Danio rerio: one gene and its partners. The protein of the gene in region 4 binds, or shares a complex with, the protein of the main gene of each other region. Links are inferred from orthologs where the notes say so. Each region holds a gene or a part of one and is shown on either strand. Other genes may lie near its edges. The genes, in order: eaf2, ccnt1, eaf1 and cdk9.

Region 1 (4,706 bases), on a different chromosome or scaffold from region 4:
AAAAACAAAAAGTCTAATAAAAAACATTTTTTAATTCTTTTCTAATTACTGAACACCTTTCTAATCATTTCCTTTCTTTGCAAATTATGAATTTCACAAGGCTACATCTATGATTTCTGAAGCTGGTAAATAAATATGTAAGAGCTGTAAAATAAATCATAATAAATGTCATGTGTGACCTATAATTTGTGCAGAAATGGAAATGTTTTCATTGATTCTACATCATTACTTGATTCATGGTCACACACTTTTTTCAAATGCAATTATATATAAAGCTACAAGCATTTACAGATGGAATCTAAAACTCAGCATCAGATCAGCATAAAATACAGAATCTCTAATCTAATCTAATGACAAGTAGTGTCAGACTTCATTTTCACCCCATCATATTAGATCTCAAAGGATGTTTTTCTTTGTTTTACAGACAGTCACCCAGCAACCTGCTAATTCCCTACATCACATGCTCCCGCTGAACCAATCTCCATCTCTATTGAGGTTTTCAGAAACAGTGGACTTCATGGAAATAGTTTTACGTTTAAGATGAATGACACTGAAGATAACCTAGTATACGGTATTCCGTGAACATTAAACTGAAAATAACAAATACTTAAGCTGACAGAAAGCTGGTTAACCCTCGCTCAAAATATGAAGTGAACGGGACAATTCATTTATTTAGCCTCCGCTTCGTTAATGAACGTGTCACTTTTACAACCGACTCATTAATATAAAGATACAGGAGAAATGACAGTGTAGTGTATGATCATACTTACATTAGATATTTGTTTTAGTAGAGTTGACATGTCGACGGTCTCTCTCCTCCACACACGCGCTGCTCGTAAATGAATCGGCGACCTCTAGATAGCAGAAGACCCCATATAACGTTACTCTCTCTGCGTCAATGCAAACAAACTGCACGATTTTATTAAAGAAACAAAACATATTTGGGGGAAAAGAGAAAACGATTCCAACACAGCAAGGCATATAATCTATTAATATAATTTAATATTTTATGAGGAATTATGATTTTATTGTCTGTGCTAATGAAATTACCCGTTTGGAACATACCTTAAAATATTTATTTTAGACCCAAACTACGTTTCAACATGTCATTTTTATTTTTTCTTAACTGACAAGACTTTTTTACTTGTCATCGTTAACTGCACAAATACAAATAAGCATTCTTAGGGAACACTAGAGGGCACCAGTGCAGTCGTGTAAACGCGTGTAAGGGAAAAGATGGGCACTTCCGTCAAACGTTACGTCAGCGTCGACTGATTGTCTTCTAAACCAATTACAGACAAGAAGTGAACGAAATGAGGCGTGACCAAGTGCAGTAACACAGCCAATCCCAACGTAGCAAGCGTGAGCAACGGGTCCAGAAGTGAGGCGTCTATTTCTGCCTTAGATGGTATCAAACCAAGCAGAAAGTTGAAAATCGCTAATATATGGTTGAAAATTTGGATTAGAATGAATGGAACAGCATATTCAAACTTTGACAGTCAAGAACACGTCCTCAAACTAGGCGAAACTTTTGAGAAACAACCTAAAAGTGCATTCCACACGGTACGATGTAAGTTGCATCTTTTATATTGCTAGCGGTATTTCAAAATGATCATATAAACACGATAATGTGAGTCATATTTTGAAAAAGAAAACGAGGTGTTTTTTAAGTTAACACCGAAACCATATATTGTTTTCAAAGAAAACGCACAGGCATATCAGGAGGCAGCTATGTGCTTTTCCACCTTGCTGGCTTAAACTCGGCTTTGTATGTTGTTTGGGGATCATTTAAAAAAGCATCCTGTCTTTGTGCTCACAACGAAAACTATTATAAATAAACAGCCTTTTTTGTTAGTCGAAAACTTGTCGTTTTAATGAAATTTTGAGAGCCATTTAATTCATGAAGAATAATGATCTTTCATGGGAAACACGCGCCCTCTGTAGGTTCTGCAATGATACTACGATGTTTGTTTTACTGTGTACTGTACGTGTCAGTAATAATAGCACACCTGAATATCAAGAAATATGTTCTTCCTGGACACAGATGATTTCAAACCAGCCTCCATAGACACTACATGTGAGGGGGAGCTGGAAGTGGGAAAAGGAGAGCAAGTTACAATCACATTACCGAACTTGGAAGTAGGTTTCATAACCTTACATTCTGAAGTGTACGTAAAATGAATGATTCTTGAGTCTTTTTCTCTCCAATCAACCCTTTCAGGGATCCACAGCACCAGTTACTGTATTTAAAGGCTCTAAAAGGCCTTATATGAAGGAGTGTATTCTGATTGTTAACCATGACACAGGAGAGTATCGTCTGGAGAAACTCAGCAACAACATTGCGGTCAAGAAGACCAGGTAAAAACACTTTTGAGTTTCAAGTCATATAAATATGATGCTTCCTTCTAATCCTTTGAATTGTATGTGAAGTAAATAAATTGTCAAATTCTCTTTTCTGTCCAGGGCTGAGGGAAGCAGTAAGATTCAGTCACGGCTGGAGCAACAAACCAGCAGACTCAGCCAGCAGATGAAGACGGGTAGCGGAAGCAAGGCTCCATCCAGCACCAAGAGCTCTCCTCCCAAAGAAAAGATGTCTCCATCATCTCCTATGGATGATATTGAGCGAGGTAACATGTCTGGTCCAAATTAAAAAAAAAAAAAAAAGATTCCTGCAACAAATCATCAGTTTCACATCCATAACTGATCCACATATTATATTGATTCATGGTATCTTCCGTCCATTCCATATCTGTTTTTAAACCGTTTGAAAAAAAGGGAAAACTTTTGGCTCTTTTTTTTTTTTTTTTTTTTTTTTGGGGTTTATTGTAGGAAAATGGATACTACTTTTAAATTCATTATACACATGTAGGCGATGTTGAAACGCCCTTTTTCATCTGACGAATGAAATCTGAGCTCATCACGTTGTCTTCAAAACAATAGTCCTATATATATATATATATATATATATATATATATATATATATATATTTAAAATAAGAGGAAATAAAAATGTAAAAAAAACTAATGGTATCTTTTGTTATAGCCCTAGGGCCCAATGTGTTCTTGTTCTGGTCCTGCTAACAATTATTTAAAAAACTAGACAATAAAAAAACACAAAGTAAACAATAATATTTATTATAAGCCTACTACTATTATTATTATTATTATTATTATTATTATTATTTAGGCCTACAGTAGCTCTGAAACAATAATGCAAACTAGGTTATGCTCAGAAAAGGCTATCTTTACTCGGCATCAGGCGCACAGCAGCAAGACGTTTTGCTACGAACTATTGCCTTCTTTTAATGACATGTGTAACTATACTGCTAATTTATGTTTTTATTTAACTTATGCATACGCAATGAATGTAAGCCTGCTAACTGATTAAATACTAGGATATTTAAACTTAGTTTATATATAAAATAAATAATAATGATAAAAAGCCTGGGTGCAGATCCTCAGAGGACTATTATTTTGAGGGCGACGTCATGAGCTTAGACTTGGTTAGCCAATCAGAGGAAAAAGGGCTTTCAGCACTGCTTACATGTGTTTAATGAATTTTAAAGTCATTGATCCGTTTTCCTCCCCTAAAATAAAAAATGAAAATCCAGCCAAAATGTAGGTTTTTGTGAGCAAAAGAAAAACCAAAAAACATCCGTTTTCCGTTTTTTTTTTTTTTTTTTTTTGGAAACGGATATGGAATGATTGGAAGAAACCCTGATTATACTGCAAGCCTGTGGTCTCAAATGACTGTGATTTAGTTATTCTAAAAGAAATCTAATGCAAATTGTGGAGATATAAACATAATACAATGAAATGACAGTTAAAGTGTTTCCTCATTTAACAATAATTATGATGGTTGTGATCGATTTAGTGTAATAGTCCTGGATTATTAAATCTTTTTCAATTTTGTCCCTCAAAACCATCTGAACCTAGTAAGTACAGTTCTTAATGTTGCTGTAGAGGTATTACAAGGTTATAACACAACTTTATATTTTTTCCTGGTCTTGAAATATTGAAGGAGACAACCATAAAAAAAAAAAATTAATAAATCATAAAAGTGCATTTTTTATACTCATTTTCTCTAAAAAAAAAAAAAAAAAAAAAAAAAAAAGTTTGATGGATGGATGAATAGATAGATGATGAATGGATGGATGGATGGATGGTTGAATAGATAGATGATGAATGGATGTAGATAGATGAATGGATGGATGGATGGATGGATGGATGGATGATTTAAAGTGGGGAAAAGTTTCCAAAAGTGGGGGTCGGACCCCCTGGAGGGTCGCAGGACAATGAAGGGGACGCTTGATGATTTCCAAAAGTCAAATAAATTTAAATAAACTTTTAGAATTACCATATTTTACACGTAAGCCATCAGCCTTTAAATTATTTTTTAATAGGACTGGTGTGTTTATTTTAGATTAACAACATGGCAATAGTGTCAGCTGCAGCAGATGATTTTATAGCACCAGGTTAAACTTTCTGACATCTTTCTGACAATCAAACACATTAAAAATAAATACAGGCCACAACTGAACAGGGGTCACGAGTCACTGGCATTGTTATTTTAGGGGTCACGGGCAGAAAAGTTTGGGAAACCCTGGTGTAAATGAGTTGTTCAGGGAAAACTCCTTGTTATGATGTGTTTGTGCAGAGCTCATGGCCGAGGCGCGTGTCATGGATCAGATGAGCAGCGGCGACAG
Region 2 (4,931 bases), on a different chromosome or scaffold from region 4:
TTTTATAAATTTTGGCATTGGGTTTGAAATATAGAGTATAAAAATTCCCGCATTAAGTTAGAAGTAATAAAAACGTGACAAACGAATGAAAAGACATTTAGCGATTATATTAGCGGCATTTCAAGTTAAAAGTTCTCAGCAAACTTTTATTTTTTATAAACAGCTGAACGACAAACTTTTTCACTGATTTTATCCAGCAAAACCTAATTTTCATAAATTTTAAAGTGGGATTGATGTAAATTGTATTTTTTTTTTGTAATGAATATGAGGAATTTCCCAGAGATGGGTTGCGGCTGGAAGGGCATCCTCTGCGTAGAAACTTGATGGATAAGTTGGCGGTTCATTCCACTGTGGCGACCCCGGATTAATAAAGGGACTAAGCCGACAAGAAAATGAATGAATATGAGGAAACGGCTTTACACTTATTTTGGCATTGTCATCAACTGATGGGGTGAGGTGCAAAATGTTTAATAACAATTTTTAGTGTTCTAAGCCTCTCTTATTATTGTGGGAAAATGTACTTTTTGGCTTTACTGTTGACCCTTGAAAAGAGGAAATTGTTTTTATTTAACTAATTTACTTATATTATTGGTGGCGCAGTGGATAGCGCTGTTACCTCACAGCAAGAAAATTGCTGATTTGAGTTTTGTGGAGTTTGCATATTCTCCCTTGTGTTCATGTGGGTTTCTTGCAGGTGCTCCGGTTTCCCTCACAGTTAAGACATGCGCTATAAGTGAATTGAGTAAGCTAAACTGGCCGTAGTGTATGTGTGTGAATGGGAGTGTATGGGAGTACTGGGTTGCAGCTTGAAGGGCATCCGCTGCGTGAAACATATGCTGGATAAGTTGGCGGTTCATTCTGCTGTGGCGACCCCAGATTAATAAAGGGACTAAACCGAAAAGAAAATGTAGATGTTAAAAAAAAATTATATTCATAAATTTTAACATTTATGTTAAAATGTTAAAATGTTATATGCTGTTCTTTAAATAAAAATAAATAAATAAAGCATGTCTAAAATGACGTTGATATGAACAAAATATGCCATGTATTCAACATAAGAGGAGGAATTGCAGCTGTTTATTGATATTACGGACGTCTCGATTAAAACTGCACTGTAAAAATGCAAAAACAAAAAAACCTCCAGACGCCCATTACACAGCAGCAGCAGGATGTCTATGAAGAGTTTATTTGCAAAACTGATACCTCCATTTTATAGAAATATTATGTTTTTTAATGTGTATTGAAGAGTACAATTGCAAAAAAAAATTCTATATTTATAGAAATAAAACTCTTGATATATCACCATTTTAAAATATACAGTAAGACTGTTTAGAGATGGTGTCAATTTGACTGGCCACCCAATGGATGCAAACACAATGAAGAGAGATAGTACTATATTCCAACTCATTATCTGCATTATATGATTTTTACAGTAATTAAAGAGATCATCTTTAAGACAGGAGTTTCTGTATGAAATTTGTACAACATTTATGCTAAATTGAAAGCATAACAAAGATTTATGAATACATCCTCATGTAGAGAAGTAGAAGTAAATGAGTTGGCAGATAAGCTGACTTAAACTTGCTCTGAGAAATGCTGTCAAACACAGTTTTACTTCATATATATATATATATATATATATATATATATATATATATATATATATATATATATATATATATATATATATATATATATATATATATATATATATATATAAGGGTTTTGATTAGTAAATTTGCATCAATGTATGTTTGTACTGTTCAGACGTGAATGGGTTAAGTCTAACAGCGCCGCAGTCGCATTCCAGCCAGCGATGACGCGCTTCCTGTGACGCAGTGAGATTTTAAAACATTGTCCTTCTCAGTAATGGCGGCTTCGTTCCCTTCGCCTTCGCAAAATAACAATAAATGGTACTTCACGCGCGAACAAATCGAAAACAGTCCATCTCGCCGAGCGGGACTTGATCCCGACAAAGAGCTCTCGTACCGACAGCAAGCTGCTAACCTGCTGCAGGACATGGGACAGCGGCTCAACGTGTATCTTTTTCAGTTAGGCAGGCGTCGGTCTCGGCAGCTGCTCCGAGGAGGCTGACGCCGGTTTGGGCGGCACGAGTGGTGTTGAATTTCAGCGTTATAATGACCTGAAACGGGTCTACCAGTATACACGCCTTTTCAATTGTGAAACTTGTGGATTAAGGCGAACGGAATAAAGGATTAATGTCCCAATTTTGCGTTTATTTTTTGGTTTGGTGTAGGCCTCAAGGCCTAACTGGAGGTGTCTCTGCCATTGAACAATAGCGTAGCCGGTGTCACAGCCATTCCCAATATGAATTTGACTCTGTTTACTTCATTACATCATTTGTTTATACTCTAAAATGAGGCGTTTATGTCATTTATGCCATTTCAAATATATATGTAAATATAGTAATCAGCATAGTTTCATTTTCCCTTTTCAGGGTGGCTCTGTTACAGTAACATGACATTTAAGTTAGTATATAGAGGAAATATGAGCTGTCCTGCTTTATCTTATGTTACTAATGTGCTTTAGATTAATGAAAACCAGCCATTTTCGTCTTATTTGTCGTTCTGAGTACTTTCACTTTTAACTTTACTGGTGCTAAAGGGTATCAAATGAACTGGCAATCTCTCTTATTGAAATAAAAATACCAGAGGCTTAGATAAAACGAATCTGTGACTGACAAGGTCATATTTTGCATGATATATTGGACAGAAGTGCCTTCAGACTGTTTATTTTTGTTATTTTAATGAATTACAATCCTTAACTTTGGACACTCAGCTCACAACTCACAATTAACACTGCCATTGTGTATATGCATCGCTTTTACATGGTCCAGTCCTTCACTCGCTTCCACCGGAATGTATGTGTCTTCTTTCATATACGCGTTTCAAATAAAACATGCTGGCTGCATTGAACAAGATAATAATCTCTTAATGTCCCGTGTTGTTCAGGTGATTGCTCCTGCAGCTCTGTTTTTAGCAGCGAAGGTGGAGGAACAGCCCCGTAAGCTGGAGCATGTGATTAAGGTGACCCATGCATGTCTCAATCCTCAGGACCCATCACCGGACACCAGGAGTGATGTAAGTAATACTGTACTGTATATGGATTATGGCCTTAAAAACATTGGTTTTGTCTACGTTATTTGTTTAAATGTTACTTGATCTTTTGGGTACACTTCATTTTAAGGTGTTAGAGTTTAGTTGTATTTAAGTATTGACTGATGGAAGTTAACAACTGTGTATTTACTATAGGGTTTGAAATAGAGTTTTGGCTTAGGGTTAGTTGCATGTAGTTTTGCATTTTTTGTACGGCATTGAATTCGTTTCAGTTATAAATTTTAATACTAAACTAAAAAACTGAAACTAAAGTAAATGATAATAAAAAATGTTCTTTGGAGTGAACTTGCTTTAATTTTTCAGAGTCCTGAGTGAGTGCTGTTTTTTTCACCTATTTTTGTTTCTGAATGTAACTATTTTGTAGTTGTTTTATCTAAATTATTTAATTGACCAACAGTTCATAACTCCATGATACCAGATCAGACAAGTTTCTATCGACTAATCAAAATATCCATTTTAGGTACATTTACATGACAATGGTCTACTAAACTCAGATTTATTTCCTTCGTTGAAAAAAAAGAGCTGCTCCGGCAATACAACCGAAAATGTCATGATCGGCTGATACCAAGTACCAATTCCGATGCTTGTTTACCTGTGCCATTGCATAAAGCACCTTTCCCCAAGTATGACACTTTAAGGCTGAATTATACTTCTGCATTAGTGATTGCCATAACCCATGGCACATATCTTGCATTTAGTCATGCTTTTATATTTCTGGTTTCTGTTAGTGTTGCGCTGACTGTAACACTACCGAAACGCAGGCTGGCAGGGGGGATTCTATATTTTTCTGTGCCGAGTTTCTTCACGGGTGTTTTGTTTTTACTGGAAATACTTTTAATGCAAACTCACTGTACAAGTAGCTCAAACTCACTCATTCAGAGGTTAAGAACCAGCAGAACTAAGCATGGACCTAAGATTCTGACGGTATAAAAACCTAGGGTAAAAATATCACTGTATTGTGACTACTGCTCTAAAATCTATTCTTTCTTTAGGGTAATGTCTGGGTAAAAAACTTTTGAACACATTATTTTTTATTTTGAGAAACATTTAAAATATTTTGGTGCAGTAAACATGTCATGCTAAATTAATTATTCACTTGAGCTGTCTTCATTTGCTTCAAAAACAGATTTTTTAGCAATTTAAAATGGCGTCTTCAGATAAATATTCTCACCAGGAGATTCTGTTGCCCTAAAAAAACAAACAAAAAAAACGTAAAAAAAGAAATCGTACACATCTCTTAGGAAAATTTTGATGGTTTTAAAACCTTGACCTTTTAAAACCGCGGTAACCTTGAAAACGGTTATCGTCCCATGCCTACGTGTAACAACTTTAATCATAAACACAAAACAAATATCTTCATCTAGAGCTTCTCCACAGGGACTCAATATTTGTTAAACACTCACGCCAAGGAGCTCGCTCCTCTCCTGCAACTCTCGGCCCCGATCACAATCATCAATGCTATCAAGCCAAGCGGTCACATATCTTGCACTATGCATTGGCGTAACATGTAGTTAAGTTTTTTTTGAGAGGTGCATTTAAGGGTTGGCAGTAGCGAAGGGTATGACTCTGTGTGCGCCAGACCAATTGCGTGCACTCACCTAGGGCTGCACAATATATCGTTTCAGCATCGATATCACAATGTGCGGATCTGCAATGTTGAGTCAGATTTATAGTTAACCAGGAGACACAGAACACATGTGATTGTAGAGTCTCTGCAAAGTTGTTGTTGTTTTGCTCAAAATGAGTTGGATACAAGATATTCTGACATTTTGAGGTGTAACAAAGATTTTTATT
Region 3 (4,651 bases), on a different chromosome or scaffold from region 4:
TCTTGATACCTCAGGTTGTTGATGTTGCCATCCACTGCAAATCTCTTGCACGCCCCTATACTGAATGTAACCCCAAACCATGATTTTTCCTTCACCGAACTTGACTGATTTCTCTGACAATCTTTGATCCATGCTGTTTGCAATAGATATTCTGCAGCATTTTTGATGATTTAAATGCAGATCAACAGATGATTCATCTAAAAAAAAATAAAATAATAATCTACCTTCTGCCACTTCTCCAAATGATCAACTAGAAGTGAGGTATTATTTGTTGCTCTTACAACTGGGCTCGACGACAGGACTGTCAGGTAGTCAGTGTACTTTATTTTGCACCACGAACGTGAGTTATTTCAGTTAGGTTGCAGAAGTGTAACTTACCTTTGCGTACTGCTCCTTGAGGGGTGCAGACAGTCTGAGAATACAGCACATCTCTGCAGTCAGTCTGAAATATAAAATAAAAGCATCTTTATTACCGAGTTTAATCTGTTCACGCGACAGGGCTATAGAGAACTAGAGAACTTACCTTTTCTGTATTAAATCTGTCACATAGTCCTTTCCTGACTTTCGCTTCCCACTGAATAACAGAATGATGCTAGGTTGTGTAGTTGCCATGGTTGTAATTACATGTGATGTGTACTTCATACTCGTGTACACAACTGACACATGTCGAGGACTACAGCCTTCAATATGAATCAGGAACCGCTTTATGTCGCTTTACCGTAACTACCAAAAAAATGTAACCTAAAAATAATATAAGCGTCTTTGGTTCTTCTGTTTGCTTAACTATTTTCTTTATTTGTGTTACTTTAAAACTTTATTGGCGTATGCGATGTTTTTTCTGTCATCTAAAAGGATATCTAAGTGAAATGTGGAAGTGTGGAAACAGGATGTTTGGTGTTTTTGTGTAGCTACGGTAATCGGACGAGTGTCACGCCATCAACTTACTGGGTATGTGCTAAATATATTTACATTTCATGTAAATAAGTTACCAGAGTGTTTTTAATTTATGCAGATATTTAAATAGTATCAGAAAAAGTTCAATAAAATAATAATCTTACATTGTTTACGTATTTATAAACACTTTTTTTCACTGACCCGGAAGTGAAACCACAAAAACGTTTGTTTCTGTATTTCATTCTTATTTGTTATTCCCCAAGTGCGGTTTATAAAGGAAATTATTTTTTAAGTGATAAAACTTGTATTTTTAAAAGTAAAATAAACCAAACATCTAAGGTGAATGCGTTATTTTTGGTTTCTGTGACCCGGAAGTTTTGAATCTGTCAGGATTGTTTTGCTTTTAGCGTCTTCTCCTTTTGTCTTTGTTTACATGTGGATAAACCGAGGATTTTTTCATTTTGGGTGAAGTTGGTGAATTCAATGTGACGCGCAGTGATGAACGGCAGCTCGAACCCGCCGCTGGATAAAGAAGAGCATGTGTTGAAGCTCGGGGACAGTTTTGAGAAGAGACCAAAATCATCCTTTCACACCATCAGATGTGAGTCCATCAAGAGAGACATAACATGCGTTATTCAAAGTATATCCCAACTAGAAATTTTCAGTTCTCTACATGCTCTAAGCATATTACCAAGCAATGTTGCATTACTGTTTTCCGCGGGTAGTTTTGTTTTAGTTCCCAGAACATTCTCTTAAAACAGTGCTCACCAAACTTGTTTCTGGAGGGCCGGTGTCCAGCAGATTTTAGCTCCAACCCTAATCAAACACACCTGAACAAGCTAATCAAGGTCTAACTAGGTATACTTGAAACATCCAGGCAGGTATGTTGAGGCAAGATGGAGCTAAACCCTGCAGGGACACCGGCCCTCCAGGACCAGGATTGGTGACCCCTGTCTTAAAAGATAGGAAAACATTTTCTATAATAATATTAACCACATTCGCACACCTTCAAATCTAATACTTCTTTGCTAAAAGGAAATAGGCCAATAAACCACTTTTTATAGCAATACGTTTATTAAAAAAAAAGTTATATTATCAAATATTCATCTTAAAAAATATTTTTTGTTTTAGTAATGTAATTTATTCAGCCAGGATTTAGTGAACTCACAATATTTTGTAAAAAACAGAGAAATTATTTCAGTTCTTATATATATAAAAAGGCCTAAATAGATGCAAGGTCATTCAAATATTTTGCTCTTCTCTGACTAACACACAGGTGTCAAACTCAGTTCCAAAAAGGCCGCAGCTCTGCACAGTTTAGTTCCAACCCTAATTCAACACACCTGATCAAACTAATTGAGTCCTTCAGGCTTGTTTGAAACCTACAGGTAAGAGTGTTGGAGCAGGGTTGGAACTAAACTGTGCAGGGCTTCGGCCCTCCAGGAATTGAGTTTGACACCCCTGGACTAACACAAATACTTGCGACTGGTTCATGAGATCAGTCAGGGGTGCGTTTCCCAAACAATGACGTAACTCGCGGCTTCATCATGTGATGCATAGTTTGGGAAAAGAACAATTGAATGTAGTGACGAGTGTTTCCCAAAACCCATAGTTTCTCTGTCACAGATCCATCGTTTGAACCATGGTATTAATAACGTAAAATGCCCATAATGATGCTGTAAATGGCGTAGAGTAACTACTTCTTTAGAGAAAAACCCATCATTTCTTTGTGCAAATTATTTTGTTTTACACAAACACGCATTTAAAAAAAATCCAATATTAGGTTAGGTAAAAACATGCACTTGTTTTCCATAGTAACTTAAATATATGTAAATTGAACATACAGGGCATGTGATTCCTTTACAAATATTATTAAGAACATTACATATTCTATTGTAAGACATAAAACCACTTAAAAAAGCGAAAATGCATTTTGATATCATATATAAATAAATAAATAAATAAATAAATAAATAAATAAATAAATAAATAATGAGGCTATTTATTGAGAAATGAAATTTTATATTCATTATGTATTAAAAAAATATACCACTTTAATAAAATTAATGATAATGACAATTATTATTATTATTAATAAGTAGGATATTGTTTGCTTATTTATTTAAAATTTTTTGAAAAGTCTACTTTTACAATTTGACATGAGAACCACAACAGAAATGTGCTAATCAACAGGCCCTTGTCATATACAGTACAGATACTTAATAAATTACCCACTATAAATTAAAATCTTTAACGCATGCTGTGTTTTTTGTTTTCACAAGCTTTGGAGACGTAACATAAATTCTGCTTTTAAATAATAGGTCACCTATAGCTTTAGTCATGAGCCGCGGCTGTGTTCAAAATGACATCAATGTTTTCAAAGTGCACTGCGGAGGGACACAATTGTCAATTTGAAAATTTTTAATACTGTGTTCACACCAGACGCGGAATGCGCGTCAAGCGCGAGTGATTAACATGTTAACATTCGCGCCGCGTTAACCAATCAGGAGCTTGCCTTGTGGGGGCGTGATTGTGACGTATCTCCTGTTGTAGGTGTCCCGGGGCTGTTTTTCAGCCTTCATAAACACATAAACACTGTTATTTTCTTCATAAAATCCATGTTAGCCATTTAGCAACAAAGCTACAGTCACCGGGCAGACAGAAGCCCTGCCTATCACGCGAATACGCGTCTGTTCTGAAGTGAATTTGACGTGCGAATGAAGTGGGGTTTGACGCTCGAATGAAGCCAGTAAACTCAAATGTTCACGCGGCTATTTACGTGCGAATAGCGCGATTTATCCGCGCGTTCCGCATCTGGTGTGAACGCAGCATACTGAACTGAAAAAATAGTTTGAAAGCAAATTATACCTAAGAGGAATGAGCTTAATGCTTTTTTAGTCATTCCAATTTTAAATATTAGAATGTTTTAAATGAAATGGGCATAGGGGGGATAGCTGGGAATAGCACACAGCCAGGAACTATGTTTCTAACTACAGCTCCAGAGGTGTAGTTGCAAGCATACAAGTTTACAACGCAGTTTGCGAATGTTTGTTGGAACGATGGATTTGGGAAACGGCTAATCATTGAAGTATGTTTGTAACGACTTTAGTTGGCTAACAATGATTTTCGGAAACGCACCCCTGATCAGCAAGTACCGATCGAGTCATTAAATGTGATTATCAGCCAATCGAAGCCCCCTACCTAAAACCAAGGCATAATTATAGAATTTAGTTTGTGAGAATGAAAACAGGCACAAAAAATTGTAGTAATGAAATGCATTGATTTTATTATTTTAGTAAAGATACATTTATTTCAATTAAATAAATAAAAAGAGAATGAAAAACTAGCTTCATTGTCGTACTGTACGTTTACAATTGTGTGCTATTCCTCCACAGATGATTTTAAACCAGCGTCTATCGATACGTCCTGTGAAGGAGATTTACAAGTGGGAAAAGGAGATGAGGTTACCATCACTTTACCACACATACCAGTAAGAGCAGCGTTCTCTTTAACATTTATATCCGCTTATGTATGACAGCCTTTCTAGAATACTCTGATTTCTCTTTAGGGCTCCACTCCACCAATGACGGTGTTTAAGGGCAACAAAAGGCCTTATCAGAAAGACTGCGTTCTCATCATCAATCACGACACTGGGGAGTTTATGTTGGAGAAGCTGAGCAGCAGCATACAGGTCAAGAAAACACGGTGAGCAGACATAAATCCTGTAGAGCGTTATATGATGTAAACAGTTGCAGTA
Region 4 (4,725 bases):
TCTACCAAGGAGGCTAAAGACCATGGCTTCTAGTGTCCATCGCTAATAGTAATGTTTACCTGCACAGCACTTACTAGCTGGCCTCCGTTACACTCAGCCCCCTAAACCTCACTCTCATCCGGGTCACGACACCTATGTAACCCTGCCAGTCCTACACCACCTAACCCGCTCCGAGCTGGGATTGAATAGGCGACTTTCCGCATGGGAGTCAAGTGCTCTACCGAGAGATTAAAGACCATGACCTCTAGCGTCTGTCGCTAGAGGACCTTTAGAGGTCAGAGGAGTGAGGTTTACCTGCACAGCACTTACTGGCTGGCCTCCGTTACACACAGCTCTAATTTCACTATATTTCCCAAGTATTTGCAAGCTATATGGATTATTAATTAGACATATTTGCACAAGCAAATCCCACCGTGGTGAGTGACTATTACTGTGATTATGGGCGCTGAACGCTGCTTTGTTTACAATTGATGCTCATTCGAAGTTTGGTTTCCCTTTGTGGAAGGAGAAAACAGATACTGCCCCCTGCTGGTGGGGAATGACATGTCCTTGCACAGATGCAGAATGTGGCTCGTTTCTGTCGTCTTTTGTCAGTTTGGTCTGGTCATGCGCAGCTTTTGCTCTAGATGGGATCCAGCACGATAATAATAGGTTTTGTTGGGTGTTGGAGTTTGGCGTCAGCTTGGTGTGTCCCGGTCTTTACATGCTTTTACAAGGCACTTTTATCCAAAGTGACTTCAGTGTTTCCAGACTCAAGTGTATTATGTGTTTTGTTTCAGATCCTCCACAGAGACATGAAAGCAGCCAATGTCCTGATCACCAGAGATGGTGTCCTGAAGCTGGCTGATTTCGGTCTGGCCCGAGCCTTCAGTTTGGCTAAAAACAGTCAGGGGAATCGCTACACAAATCGGGTGGTCACTCTGTGGTATAGACCGCCTGAACTACTGCTGGGTGGGTGAAACCACATCAAACACTTGTTACTTTTCATTTTCGCTTTGTGTTGATATTGTTACGACCGGCTCATTGGAGTCGCAACATGAAAGATCAAGCAACAAAATAGTGCAAATTATTTATTATAATCAAAACTAATACAAAAACAATGATATAAATAATGCAAAACAAACCCAAAATGTTAAGAGTCAACCAGATTCGACTTCTGATTAACCACACAGTGACCTGCCCTAGCTAGCACAACAACTCTTATATACACATTAAAGCAATTATAGATTAGTAATGCAGTCATCCAATCAGGATCTACTACATTCTTTAATGAGGTCTGGGGACTTGGGATCATCACAGTATGGATTTATTTATTTATTCTGTATTTTTGTAGGCGAGAGAGACTACGGGCCTCCCATAGACCTGTGGGGCGCGGGGTGCATCATGGCGGAGATGTGGACCAGAAGCCCCATCATGCAGGGCAACACAGAGCAGCACCAGCTCACACTCATCAGTCAGCTGTGCGGATCCATCACTCCTGAGGTACACACTTTACTCCAGTAATGTTGGAGGATCAGCTCACGCAATTGCCAACCGAAAACATACTTTTCAGATGCTTTGTCAGCTTTTTATTTTCAGGATTTTTGTGTATAATTCACCTAAATTCATTAATTTTCCTTTAGCTTAGTCCCTGATTTATCATGCCAACTACTCTGGCATGTGTTTAATGCAGCGAACGCCCTTCCAGCCGCAACCCAGTACTGGGAAAATTTCACCGAAAATTTCACTCCCTTCAGAATATACTGATTGTACCATTGGGTGCACATAGTCCTCCAGAATGGTTCGGTTGTCCTTGACAGTGACAGATGCGCCAGCGAGACACACACCAATTTGTCCTCTTTTGAACTCTGTCACCCATAATGTTGTGTGCGTTGCAATATTTTTAGAAAAAAATGCTTTTATTCTTTTAATTAAACCTTCACACTCTGCTCCTACTGGTGGAATGTGCAATCACTGGTCAAATTCAGCCATGAAACCTCCAACTTTAAATTGACCAGCGTTTCAGTTTCATTGTCCAACGTCTGTATATTTATTATGCATATGAGATGCACACACATACATAAAGACAATATTTGTTACATAGATATTTTATTCTATTACGCAGTTTAATGAAGTGTATATCTAAATATAAATAAACATTTCTCTAATATATGTATGCATATTTATGTGTTTATATTTACACAAAAAGTATATACAGTACATACATGTTATCTTAAAAGTTTTTTATTTTGGATGCAATTAATCACAATCTTTGCCCAGCACTACAGGGTATCTTAAGTATAAGTCTTAATGTCTTAAATTTTAAAAAACAAATTTAAGCCTTAAAAAGTCCTTAATCCGCTGAAATATTGTGTTGTAGGTCTTAAATTAATTTTAAACTGGTCCGAATTTTCCTCTGTCCATGTAAAGCTTTACCCAATTGGGCCAACATCCATCCATCCAAACACTAACAATATATTTTTCCAATATATTTAATGGTTTTAAGAGACGTTTATTTATTAACTCTATTTACTTATTAATGTGGTTTAATTATTTTTCTTACAATTACCTGTTTTTTTTTTTTTTTTTTTTAATTTCAGGGTTTTCACCTTTTAATTGATAGGACAGTAGAGAGTATAGACAGGAAAGTGTAGGGAGCAGAGAGAGGGGAAAGATCGGCATAGGACCGCGAGGCGGGAATTGAACTCGAGTTGCCAGAACACCAGAGTGCCATGTGTCGATGCACTAACTACTACACTACTAGCACCGACACAATGACCTGTTTGTAATGTTAAGGGTTTTAACTTGGCTATTTGAATAATATTTAGCATTTAGCCTTGTGTTGTCTGAAATTTCATTCATTGTGGTCTTAAAATGGTCTTAAAGTCTTAAATTTGTCTTGGTGAAACCTGTGTAAACCCAGCACTTGTGTTTATTGATCCGCCTGTATTTAACATCTCCATTCTGCACTGTCTCAGGTCTGGCCGGGTGTGGATAAGAAGTATGAACTGTATCAGAAGATGGAGCTTCCTAAAGGGCAGAAGCGTAAGGTGAAGGACCGGCTGAAGGCGTATGTGAAAGACCCTTACGCTCTGGACCTCATAGACAAACTGCTGGTTCTGGATCCGGCGCAGAGAATTGACAGTGATGACGCTCTCAACCACGACTTCTTCTGGTCCGACCCCATGCCCTCTGACCTCAAAAACATGCTCTCCACACACAACACCTCCATGTTTGAGTATCTAGCCCCGCCCCGCAGAAGAGGTCACATGCCTCAGCAGCCGGCCAATCAGAACAGAAACCCAGCCACCACCAGCCAATCAGAGTTCGACAGGGTCTTCTGATTAATCTGTAATTGGTCGAGGAGAAAGAGACTTATTTAAATGACTAAATATACATTTCAGCACATCTTGGCTTGGAAATCCAGGCAGATGCATAGAAATCCTGGAGTTTACCATCTGCACTCACTATTGTAATTACAAAAAATACTGATTGTGGATCAGATGAGTTCTGTTGATGAAACTTTTGATGCTTTATTATGGAGCTTCAACACTTTTGAGAAATGAGTGTATTATTGTGCTGCCCCAGTGCATTGTGGGAGAGAAAAGAAGTGTACTTAGTGTATTGATGCACAGATTGTGTTATTGGATGTGAGTCTCCTGAGAAGATGATTTTGTATTGTAAAGAGCGACACGCTACTTTTGTCTAGGAGACATTTATTTAAACCCTTCACTTCTCTTGACAGATTTTATTGTTAATTTAGCTGCTTATTTTTAAAGATGTTTTTATTTGTAAGATCACGTGTTCAGGGTCATGGTGTTTGTTACTTGTATAAGTATAAATACACCAATAAATCCTCCACATTTCCCATCATTGTTGTTGTTCGTGCTGGAATATTGGGATTTAGCTTGTGGCTAAATGCAATATAATATGAATGCAATATGCTTATATAAAATACAGTATAAATGAATGAATGCCAGAAGATTGTCATATTGACATACTGCACATTATTAAGAAATTAACTGAACATTTAATTATCGCATGCAGTGCTGAGGCTGAGAATTTTTATATTTTATAGATTGTCACAAAACCACAAAGTAAAGTTGTGCTGTAATGCATGCATTTTCTCCATTTGCTGTGTTCTTGTGATGAGGATTCTCCATCCTCTCTGCTGTCAAGCTGATAGCTGCTATTCTACTGTTCTCACATCGAGCCATATCACAATTCCAGTTTTTGTGTCAAAAAAGAGCTCTTCAATTAAAAATAAGATGTGTCACACCATTTAAGGTGTTTTTGAACTTGACTATCTTACACAGTATGTTTATGGAACCCTGGAAAGAAAATCCATAAGAAATTAGATGTCCAGGCTATTTATTTTGTTTTACTGTGTTGCATGATTATGATGCAAAGCAGATGCTATTAGCTGTTGTAGGATAATTAGTACACACTCTCAGAACATTGAACCTCTTTTAGATTTAGAAAACCCTTCAGCCGAAACAAACTTGTAAAAAGAAAAAATACATCTGTCATAAGTGAATATTTTGATTACTTGCATTTTGATTTATAGTATTAAAATGTAGGCATTCATGCTACTGCCTAAAATCCAACGAGATTAACCCTTTAACTACACCACTAAAAAAATGTTTGGATTGCATTTCTTAACTCCTAATGTCGCTGGTTAACACACTCCATGCATTTTTTCCCAACGCATCCCATAATTTATAAAATTTCAGCTTCTATCAAATT

What was found.
Region 1: cdk9 (region 4) and eaf2 share a complex: the UniProt entries of both Homo sapiens proteins name them as parts of the super elongation complex. The link is inferred for Danio rerio from reciprocal best matches to the Homo sapiens genes CDK9 and EAF2.
Region 2: the proteins of cdk9 (region 4) and ccnt1 are in contact, whole or in part, in a crystal structure (PDB 3BLH), measured with the Homo sapiens proteins. The link is inferred for Danio rerio from reciprocal best matches to the Homo sapiens genes CDK9 and CCNT1. Residues at the interface, in NP_001252.1 of Homo sapiens: Val8, Glu9, Cys10, Pro11, Phe12, Cys13, Lys56, Glu57, Gly58, Phe59, Ile61, Leu64, Ile67, Lys68, Gln71, Leu72, Leu81, Ile82, Glu83, Ile84, Arg86, Ile99; in NP_001231.2 of Homo sapiens: Arg5, Lys6, Arg11, Trp12, Arg26, Ile72, Gln73, Phe78, Phe89, Leu90, Lys93, Val94, Pro98, Lys99, Lys100, Leu101, Val134, Glu137, Ile139, Leu141, Gln142, Thr143, Gly145, Phe146, Glu147, Leu148, Thr149.
Region 3: cdk9 (region 4) and eaf1 share a complex: the UniProt entries of both Homo sapiens proteins name them as parts of the super elongation complex. The link is inferred for Danio rerio from reciprocal best matches to the Homo sapiens genes CDK9 and EAF1.

The regions. Positions count from the first base shown.
Region 1 is NC_133184.1:24,619,684-24,624,389, forward strand, and holds the start of eaf2 (ELL-associated factor 2), read left to right. Parts: upstream 1-1,362; 5' UTR 1,363-1,467; coding exon 1,468-1,570; intron 1,571-2,044; coding exon 2,045-2,139; intron 2,140-2,221; coding exon 2,222-2,358; intron 2,359-2,463; coding exon 2,464-2,627; intron 2,628-4,657; coding exon 4,658-4,706. UniProt on the Homo sapiens protein: Acts as a transcriptional transactivator of TCEA1 elongation activity. Acts as a transcriptional transactivator of ELL and ELL2 elongation activities. Potent inducer of apoptosis in prostatic and non-prostatic cell lines.
Region 2 is NC_133198.1:38,752,413-38,757,343, forward strand, and holds the start of ccnt1 (cyclin-T1), read left to right. Parts: upstream 1-1,840; 5' UTR 1,841-1,869; coding exon 1,870-2,039; intron 2,040-2,799; coding exon 2,800-2,881; intron 2,882-2,972; coding exon 2,973-3,101; intron 3,102-4,931. UniProt on the Homo sapiens protein: Regulatory subunit of the cyclin-dependent kinase pair (CDK9/cyclin-T1) complex, also called positive transcription elongation factor B (P-TEFb), which facilitates the transition from abortive to productive elongation by phosphorylating the CTD (C-terminal domain) of the large subunit of RNA polymerase II (RNA Pol II).
Region 3 is NC_133191.1:7,228,400-7,233,050, forward strand, and holds the start of eaf1 (ELL-associated factor 1), read left to right. Parts: upstream 1-1,321; 5' UTR 1,322-1,392; coding exon 1,393-1,495; intron 1,496-4,289; coding exon 4,290-4,384; intron 4,385-4,462; coding exon 4,463-4,599; intron 4,600-4,651. UniProt on the Homo sapiens protein: Acts as a transcriptional transactivator of ELL and ELL2 elongation activities.
Region 4 is NC_133196.1:7,407,427-7,412,151, forward strand, and holds the end of cdk9 (cyclin-dependent kinase 9), read left to right. Parts: intron 1-779; coding exon 780-951; intron 952-1,333; coding exon 1,334-1,482; intron 1,483-2,957; coding exon 2,958-3,323; 3' UTR 3,324-3,852; downstream 3,853-4,725. UniProt on the Homo sapiens protein: Protein kinase involved in the regulation of transcription.